Linked DNA regions of Caenorhabditis elegans. The protein of the gene in region 1 purifies or fractionates together with the protein of each later gene. This does not show direct contact. Each region holds a gene or a part of one and is shown on either strand. Other genes may lie near its edges.

The links.
Region 2: the proteins of fbf-1 (region 1) and ccf-1 purify together in Caenorhabditis elegans (affinity purification with western blotting, with the first as the bait; one study listed by BioGRID). This does not show direct contact.

Annotation. Positions count from the first base shown.
Region 1 is NC_003280.10:6,077,719-6,082,834, reverse strand, and holds fbf-1 (Fem-3 mRNA-binding factor 1), read left to right. Parts: upstream 1-1,991; 5' UTR 1,992-2,114; coding exon 2,115-2,156; intron 2,157-2,202; coding exon 2,203-2,436; intron 2,437-2,484; coding exon 2,485-2,654; intron 2,655-2,706; coding exon 2,707-2,959; intron 2,960-3,002; coding exon 3,003-3,616; intron 3,617-3,664; coding exon 3,665-3,793; intron 3,794-3,838; coding exon 3,839-4,042; intron 4,043-4,086; coding exon 4,087-4,285; 3' UTR 4,286-4,572; downstream 4,573-5,116. Other genes in the region: H12I13.6 (uncharacterized protein), read right to left, coding at 4,600-4,751, 4,825-4,900. UniProt on the Caenorhabditis elegans protein: RNA-binding protein that binds to the consensus sequence 5'-UGUGCCAUA-3' in mRNA 3'-UTRs. Involved in the control of stem cells and sex determination in the C.elegans hermaphrodite germline.
Region 2 is NC_003281.10:11,918,328-11,922,160, forward strand, and holds ccf-1 (CCR4-NOT transcription complex subunit 7), read right to left. Parts: upstream 1,911-3,833; 5' UTR 1,894-1,910; coding exon 1,765-1,893; intron 1,718-1,764; coding exon 1,433-1,717; intron 1,381-1,432; coding exon 862-1,380; 3' UTR 501-861; downstream 1-500. Other genes in the region: znf-593 (Zinc finger protein 593 homolog), read right to left, coding at 261-386; trap-4 (Translocon-associated protein subunit delta), read left to right, coding at 2,414-2,459, 2,594-2,922, 2,975-3,079; Y56A3A.22 (DUF1279 domain-containing protein), read left to right, coding at 3,370-3,833. UniProt on the Caenorhabditis elegans protein: Catalytic component of the CCR4-NOT complex which is one of the major cellular mRNA deadenylases and is linked to various cellular processes including bulk mRNA degradation, miRNA-mediated repression, translational repression during translational initiation and general transcription regulation.

The sequences.
Region 1 (5,116 bases):
TCAGAAAAAAGGAAACAACTTACGTTGAGAGTTTAAATATATAAAAACCAGCCGTTCGCACGCGCTGAAGCGCGTGCTCCGACTGGCGTACTCAAAATTAAAATCAAATTCTGAAATTTCTGAGCCTTTCTTTGCAGATGAAACGTTTTTCCCTGTTTTCCGGAAGTTCTCGAGCAACATAAATATCTACAAACTATGGAACAAACGGCCTTCATTCCGAGATGACAAACTTTTTGGTGGCAAAGGTTCTTTGGGGGCATAGTATCCAAGGAGACAAAGTATCCAGTAGACAAACTGGGGTGTATCTTGGGGGGCATATCTTTGGTGACAACCTTTTTTTCAACTAGATTTTTATATGTATTTTTCAACTAATTTTTGTTCACATTTTTCTGGAATAAGTTTTTTAATGCAATTTTCAATCGATTATCGGTTATAATTCCCTCACAATTAAATGTATGAACGATGGTCTTTTGGGAAAAGCTGTAAAAGGTCCAACTAACTTGGAATATCGTGAGGCTCTTCCTGATGGTCTGATCCTTCAGCTCCGAGGGATCACATAGGTACCTTCTGATGTTCTGATCCTTCAGAAAAGAAGGATCGTAAGGGTACCTCCTGATGGTCTGATCCTTCAGCTCCAAAGGATCACGAGGCTCTTCCTGATGTTCTGATCCTTCAGCTCCGAAGGATCACATGGGTACCTTCTGATGTTCTGATCCTTCAGATAAGAAGGATCGTAAGGGTACCTCCTGATGGTCTGATCCTTCAGCTCCAAAGGATCACGAGGCTCTTCCTGATGTTCTGATCCTTCAGCTCCGAAGGATCCGACGTCATCATCTCGAAGAATCTTACGATATTCCAAGTTAGTTGGACGTTTTACAGCATTTTCCCAAAAGATCATTGTTCATGCATTCAATTGTGAGTAGTCAAGGCCGAAAATCCATGGAAAATTGCATTTAAAAACTTATTCCAGTAAAATATGAACAAAAAATGGTCAAGAAATATATATAAAAAAACTAGTTGAAAAAGTTTGTCACCGAAGATACGCCCGGTCAGAGACAAATGGCACTTTGTCGACTGGATACCATGTCACTTTGGATACTTTGTCCCCAAAAATACCTTGCCACCCTAAAAGTTTGTCCCCTCGGAATGAGGGCCAGTTACCAGTGGCCATAATCGTGTGATTATTATTTGGGATGTTCGAAGTGTTTGCTCCGCCCTTTCTGGATCACAATAGACAATTGCTTCTTCTACTTCTTGAATGTCTCATAATTCTTCTTATTTTTATCTAATTTATTGCTTCTCCTTTCTATTTTGTATATTAACTCCCAAAAACGCCCATTCTTCCCCAAAACCATCTAAAACTTACCAATATTTCCCGATACCCCTGACAGGTTATCCTGAATAATGATTGTGATTCTCAAATTTCTTCTAATCCCGTTAATTCCCCAAATATTCGAATGTAACTTTTTTTGGAATTTTTTTGTTTTCTAGTTTATAAATAAACAATATGTTTGAAAAACAATCGTAATTTGCGTTTTAGATGGTTAAACGGTAGGAAGCTTAAGCTTCCTACAACATCCAAATACAATGCAATATTTTCTGAAATTCTAAATATCAAAACATCATCCGGAATATGGAGATTTAATGCAACTCTATAGAGGTTTATGGGGACTTAGTCTTCTGGAAATTGAATTATGTGATTATGAATTAATTTTAAAAAAACCAATCCCAATCATACGATCGTCGACGACGATCGTCCCTCGCGTCTCGCGAGAGCCAACTGGTTATAGCTTTTCGGGAGGTTTAAATGTTTTATCAATTTTATACGGTACGGTCTGGAATATTCCACAATTTTTTATCTGTTTTAACAGAGAATATCTCTCCATGGAGATGCTAAAATTTTGAGAGATAAATAAGCAAATCGCATTGTTTGAAAATTTCAATTTGGATACGGTAGACAATGACAAAGTACGCAAACACCAGAGTATGTGACACACTTTCGTCATTCTCAAATTCAATTTGAAATATTATTTTCTTATTCCTATTCTCTATTTTCTGTGAATTGATAGTTTTTCTATAAGTAACCATTCGAATAAAATTATCAACTAATCGACATGGACCAATCAAAAATGCGCTATACAAATCAGTTCAGAAAAGTTGGTTTTCAGCCATTAATATTGATAAATGGCCTAAATTTTACAGACTCCGCAAAAGCCCACATCTACAGAGGTTGGAAATCATCATACTCCCGCACATTCGCCGATGGCGCAGCATGAGACATCAATGTGGAACTTCAACTCTCTCAACCCGTATTTCTCAATGCTCAATATGAACGATGGGATGAATTATGCTCGCCATCAACAGAATCACATTGTTACATCGCGGCCACCAACCCCGCTAACTGATTTGATGAGCCTCCGGAGTTTTCAGAGCTTTGTAAGTTAGAGTAGCTAATTTTTGGTTGTTTTCATTACTGATTTGCAGCCCAATGTGTTCATGCCGGTCTCGCGTAGCCGAACTTCATCATTCATTCAGTCTGATACGGATTCCTCGCGTCTCGAGCCGGACGATTTTTCACAAAATGTCCGATATTGCTCTACCGAGATTGATCGTAACAATAGTTCTTCGAAAAATGACCATTTGAAATATTCGAGGTTCGAATTAATTTATCACTATCCTCAAGTGTTTATTCTGTTTTATTTATAGACCCGCTCTATCGAGGAACTCTAGATCATTCACAAGATCAAACAATGTGCTGCCAACCTGGTCCTTGGATTCCAATGGTGAAATGCGTTCAAGATTGTCGCTCTCTGAAGTTTTGGATAGTGGCGATTTGATGAAGTTTGCCGTTGACAAAACTGGGTGCCAGTTCCTCGAAAAGGCCGTGAAGGGCAGCCTGACATCTTATCAGAAGTTCCAATTGTTTGAACAAGTTATTGGGAGAAAAGATGATTTCCTTGTAAGTTTTAGTTTCTGCGAGCACACACGACTTTTCTTTTCAGAAATTGAGCACGAACATCTTTGGAAATTATTTCGTACAAGAAATCATTGGAATGTCATTGACAACTTATGATGACGACAACATAAAGCGACAAGAAAAGTTGAAGAACTTCATCAGTTCCCAAATGACAGATATGTGCTTGGACAAATTTGCGTGTCGTGTTATCCAATCCAGTCTCCAGAACATGGATTTATCCCTTGCGTGTAAACTTGTTCAAGCTCTACCTCGTGATGCTCGTCTTATCGCAATCTGTGTTGATCAAAATGCCAATCACGTCATTCAGAAAGTCGTAGCTGTCATCCCACTGAAGAATTGGGAGTTTATCGTGGATTTTGTTGCAACCCCAGAGCACCTCCGTCAGATTTGTTTTGATAAGTATGGGTGCCGTGTTGTGCAAACTATAATCGAAAAACTCACTGCTGATTCAATAAACGTTGATTTAACTTCCGCTGCTCAACATCTTCGTGAACGAGCACTCCAACGCCTCATGACTTCTGTGACTAATCGGTGCCAAGAATTAGCTACGAACGAGTATGCCAATTACATAATACAGCATATTGTATCCAATGATGATCTGGCCGTATATCGGGAATGTATCATAGAGAAATGCCTCATGTGAGTGTTGTTTAATATATATTTGATTTTTAATCATTAATATTTCAGGCGCAATCTTCTTTCGTTATCCCAGGAAAAGTTTGCGTCTCATGTTGTAGAGAAAGCATTCCTACATGCACCAATGGAACTTCTTGCTGAAATGATGGACGAGATTTTCGACGGATACATGCCACACCCGTAAAAATTTCGTTTCAGTCACATAAAAATTAAATTGTTTTTCAGGGGCACTGGAAAAGATGCTCTCGATATCATGATGTTCCATCAATTCGGAAACTACGTCGTTCAATGCATGCTGACTATTTGCTGTGATGCTGTGTCTGGAAGACGACAAACGAAAGAAGGGAGCTATGACCATGCAAACTCATTCCAAGTTTGGCTCAAAAAGTTGCACTCGAGAGTTACGAAAGAAAGGCATCGCTTGTCAAGGTTATCACTATTGTCACAATAATATTTTGAAATTCGAATTTCAGGTTCTCATCCGGCAAAAAGATGATCGAGACGCTTGCCCATCTCCGTTCAACTCATCCGATTTATGGACTCCAATCTTCGGGACATGAATCATTCAAGACGGATTGCTTCAGTACTGCTTCCGAACACGATGGTCTAGAGTTGGAGAAGAATGGAATCGAGGAAGGTAACCTGAGGCTCATGCGAACTTTCTCACCATAAATCTCATCCCACCCACTTATGTTCTGTTGTTTTGTAATATTTTAAACTGTTGCAATGGTTTCGTTTCGATTTTAAGATCGATGTTGTGCCATCCCCACCCTTATCATTGCCCAGTTTTGTTTTTTCTTTTCTTTTTTGTTGTTTTATTGCTTTTCATGCAGTTGTGTTATTGTTTCTTTCTGTTTATTGTTCATTGTTTTGTTTTTTTTTTTCGAATTTAATGAATCCAGATAAATTTGGACACGAAAACTCTAAAAATTAAATAAAATTATTTCAACACTAAAATAATTCATTACGCAAAAACAACAAACAAATTATTCGAAGATTTCCTCTCGTTGACGCCAGGTAGAGTTGGCGTCGTCGTTCTCCATGTAAACCATTGATGTTGGAATTGTGGGGCGAGCCTCCACGCCTGGCGGTGGTCTTCTCGGTGCGAACATCATCGACCCACCAATCTCCTCTTCGACTGAAAACACAGAGTATTTAAAATAAAATGAGAATGAAAGGTAAGTTCCTCCCAATTACTTCAGTAAACTCGCCTTTTTTAGCCTTAAATTTTCCGCAGTTCACCAATACGGCAGCAGTGAGAATAACAGAACAGACGAGAAACAGCATCTGTAAATAAATTTGATTTCAATCTCTACTCTTCAGCACTTATACTATAAGTGTTGTACTTCTATGAGTTTCATTGGATAAGTGTCTATTCGGAATAGTCTCGCTGCACTTTATTCTCTACAGTAATCTTACATTAGAGTATACGCGAGAAATGGAGAGTGCTGCGAGAACTAGAATGAATATGCCTCCCTTGAAACGTATAGAAAGATTGGAAAA
Region 2 (3,833 bases), on another chromosome or scaffold:
TCGAAAAAAGAGAATAAAATGAATAAAAACGAAACTTTGTTAGAGGGCGGAGACACACCGCAATGCCGCGGCACGCAGTTTTGCAACTTCACCGCACAGTTTTATTTTACGAGTTTTTAGCATTTTTTCCAGCAAAATTTGATTATTTGCCAGATTTCCTGATAAAATTAACGCGAAATTGTAGAAAAGCAGTTAAAATACAACCGTGCGGCAGTGTTGCGAATTCTAAGGGTTTATTTCGAGTAATAAATCTGAAAAACCTCTTGCTGGAGAAGCTTGGCGGCCTTTTCAGGCTTCAAATCCTCATGGATTTGATCCAAATCCTTTCCGGGACGTTTACGTGTCTTGTTCGAAATCGTGTGCTTCCTCTGTCCACCGCTCGGCATTTTTTGCTGAAATACTACTTTTGTTAAGCTTTGAATCTAGACAAAACAGCTGAAAAAGATAATTTCAGGCTCAAAAACCCTTATTTTAGTTGAAAATTTAAAGTTTCCGCGAGTAGATTTCGAAAATTTTTATTTTTTTGGGCATAGGGGAGGGAAAATGAAAATAAAAAGATACACGGGGCGCCCGATCTCGCCCAGCTTCTACTGCTGCTGAAAATTACAAATAAAAAAGATCGAACTTTCAGAGTAATGATCACCTATAAACAACTAAGCGTATAGTCATCAAGTATAGGGAGATATAATAACAAAGACAAATTATAGGGCGCGTGAAAACACAAAAAACTTGGGTGAGAGATGGGGAAGGGCACGAAACAGACAGCTAATTTACAATAACAGTGTAGACGGTTTTTGGTGGAAAAAGGAAGAAAAAAATAAAAGAAATAGACACATGAAAAATGACGGGAAAGAGATCTGTTCAGGCTTGTTGTGGAACTCCGATTAGGCCTTGTGGTGTCTCATCGCCTAGTCGAGAAGTTGATCCGGAGCTATGGAACAGCGAAAGCGAAGATCCAAGACCAAACATATGTCCACAGATCAATGGAGCAATCTGGTTCCAGTTGTCTCCGAAAAACTGCTTTTTGATCTTGAAAAACGTGGCGGCGGTCAGCAGTGCGTCGGATCCAGCTTGATGGCGAACTCCTTGTCGTTTCACGTCCAGCTGATCGGCGACCTCTTGAAGTCCTCCTTTCAGCTTTGCAGACGCGCAATTTGGAGTTCGGAGCAGGATTTTGATGTCGAAGCTGGTTGGGAAGAGAGTTTTGTGGCACATGAAGAACGTTGACTCTTCCTTAGGCAGATCTCCAAGTGTGATGCTTTTCAACAAATATCCAAAGTCGTAGCCGGAAGAGAACGTGAGCCATGTGATCCGTGGATCAGTGATGAGGCCTGACGTCGTCAAAAGTTCTCCGAATACTGCTGTCGGTATTCCATTGTTCTGGAAGAAAGAAATTATTATTAAAATATTGGAAAATCAATATTAAAAAAACCTGCAGCAATGTGAAGTCTATTCCGGCTTGCCGGAGCATTTCGACACTCTCATGCGAGAACATGTCTTCAGCGAAGGAGAAATTGAAATTGAACTGCCAAACATCGCCAGTCGGTGGTAGCTCTCCTTTGTCATTGACCATTGCAAAGCCCACTTGTATTAATTTCAGCATATTCACATTACAGAACACTTGCTGATAATTGAAATCTTCCTTGCTTCGAAATGTGCCCAACGGTGTCGCCACAACTCCGGGAAATTCTGTGTCCATTGCCACGTAGGGATAATCCTGAAAAAAAACCGATTTTTTAAAAATATTCAAACGATCGGCTGTACCTCGACGAATCCTCGAATCCTCGCGAATTCCTCCTCCACGTTTGACATATATACGTTGTGAATCTTGACTTCTGGTGCTCCACTTGCTCCACCTGCTCCACCTGCTCCACCACTGCTACTAGAAGCCATTTTTATGATATCTGGAACTAGAATTTTCGTTTTAGAGTGAACGCTTTTATTTTCGATTTTTTTAAACGAATTTATGGGACAGAAATCGAAAATAGCTTATAAAATAAATAAAATAATTTTTCCGCAAACTTTTAAAGCAGAAAAACGGGAGAAAAAGTCAGTTTGCAAAAGTTTTGAAGCGCAAAAGAAGTTCTTGAACGATCGATTTTGGATCGGCATTAAAGGCGCATGGAGTTTCCCAGCGGTGTGGGTCTCGCAGCGAACGGGAGAGAACTGCAAACTGGCTAGCTGCCAAGTGAGTTTGTTTTACGTGAAACTGTCGAGAAAACATCGTTTTAGTGAATTAAAATGTGTTTTTAATGAATTTTTCACTTATTTTCTTGATTTTTACCCTAAAAACATGAATTTTGTGCGTTAAAATGATGCAAATTCGAGTAAAATACGTATAGAATGCCTATTTTACTCATTTTACAAGATAATTCTTCAAAACACGAATTTAATTACTTTTTTGCAGGTAATAATGCTGAAGATCGCCGTCGCCCTTTGCCTTGTCGCTTCCGCTCTTTGTAAGTTGGAAAAATTAATAAATTCCCACACAAATTATTCAAATGTGTGGCTTGTATAAAAATAAGGCTCGATTTTTCGAATTTTAAGCGTAGATTGTTAACATTTAATACAAATAAAACAATAAATATTCCAGGCGCCAAGTGCGAGTCGCCAAAGTACTCGGCCTCGTCATTCTCCACTACCGACGGATTCTTCCACTACAAAACCACCTTCATCACCGAGTTCACACTTCAATGCAGCAACAACCCGAAGAATATCCAATACACTGCTGAAGTAAACGGTCGCCTTATCCCAGTCTCGATTTCCGACGAGACCGCCAAGTTCCAAGTCTCATGGACTCTTGAGCACAAGGACGCCGGAGCTCAAACCTTTAATATTAACATTTTCGACGAGGAGGGAGCCGCTCAATACGCCAAGAACCCTGTCACCAAGCCACTCTTCACCGTTCAACAAAGCCATGGGGTGAGAATTGCATCATTTTCACATAATTATCTTTAAAAATCATTTTTTGCAGGGTCTCGCCACGAAGTCTCCAATCTCTTCCGAGACTGTCGCCGTCATCATCGTCGTCATTGGCCTTTACTACGCCATTCGTCAAAAGACCGAACTTGTCCACTAAATATCATTGTTTTTATCCCCAAATTACTGGTCAACGCACGTTTGCGTGCTGGGTTTTTGTTCTTTTTGTTTTTATTTATATATACAAAATGTAATTTATTGATTTTTGCCCCTTTTTCCACCCCATTCGTGTATTTATAAGTTCAGTAGCCCCCAAATAGCCATAAATTGAAATTTAATTGCTAGACTGACGTAAAAAAAAGTTTAAAGAGTTGAGAGTGTAAATCCCCGGGAAACTTACTTTAGATAATTTTAAGACCCCCTTTAGGCCAAAATTTTCATTCAGGCAAAATGCTTTTGGCTCGATCCATAATCCGATGCTCGCGGAGCATCTGTTGTGCTCAATTCCAGACCCCATCAAGCTCACGATTCCTGCACACAAGTCGACAACTCCACGAGAAAGAGCCCACTCCGAAGAAGCCAGACGATCAAAAATGGAAAATGTTCAGAATGACAATGTCTGAGGAGCAAAAACTCGCAAAAACGGCGAAAATCGAGCAAATGAAGGCGGAAGAAGCGCCGAAAACGTTGTTCGCAAAAGTGAAATATTATTTTAAAAGATATTGGTATATCGCTGTGCCGGCTCACGCGGCATCGTGTACAGCATGGTTTATCGCATTGTATTTGGTGGTTAAAAGTGGAGTTGATGTGATTTCATTGCTCGAATGGCTTCATATGCCGGATGCTATCGTTGAAAAGGTCAAAAATACGCCCGAAACCGCCGGAGTTGTGGTGGTTTCGCTGATTTTGTACAA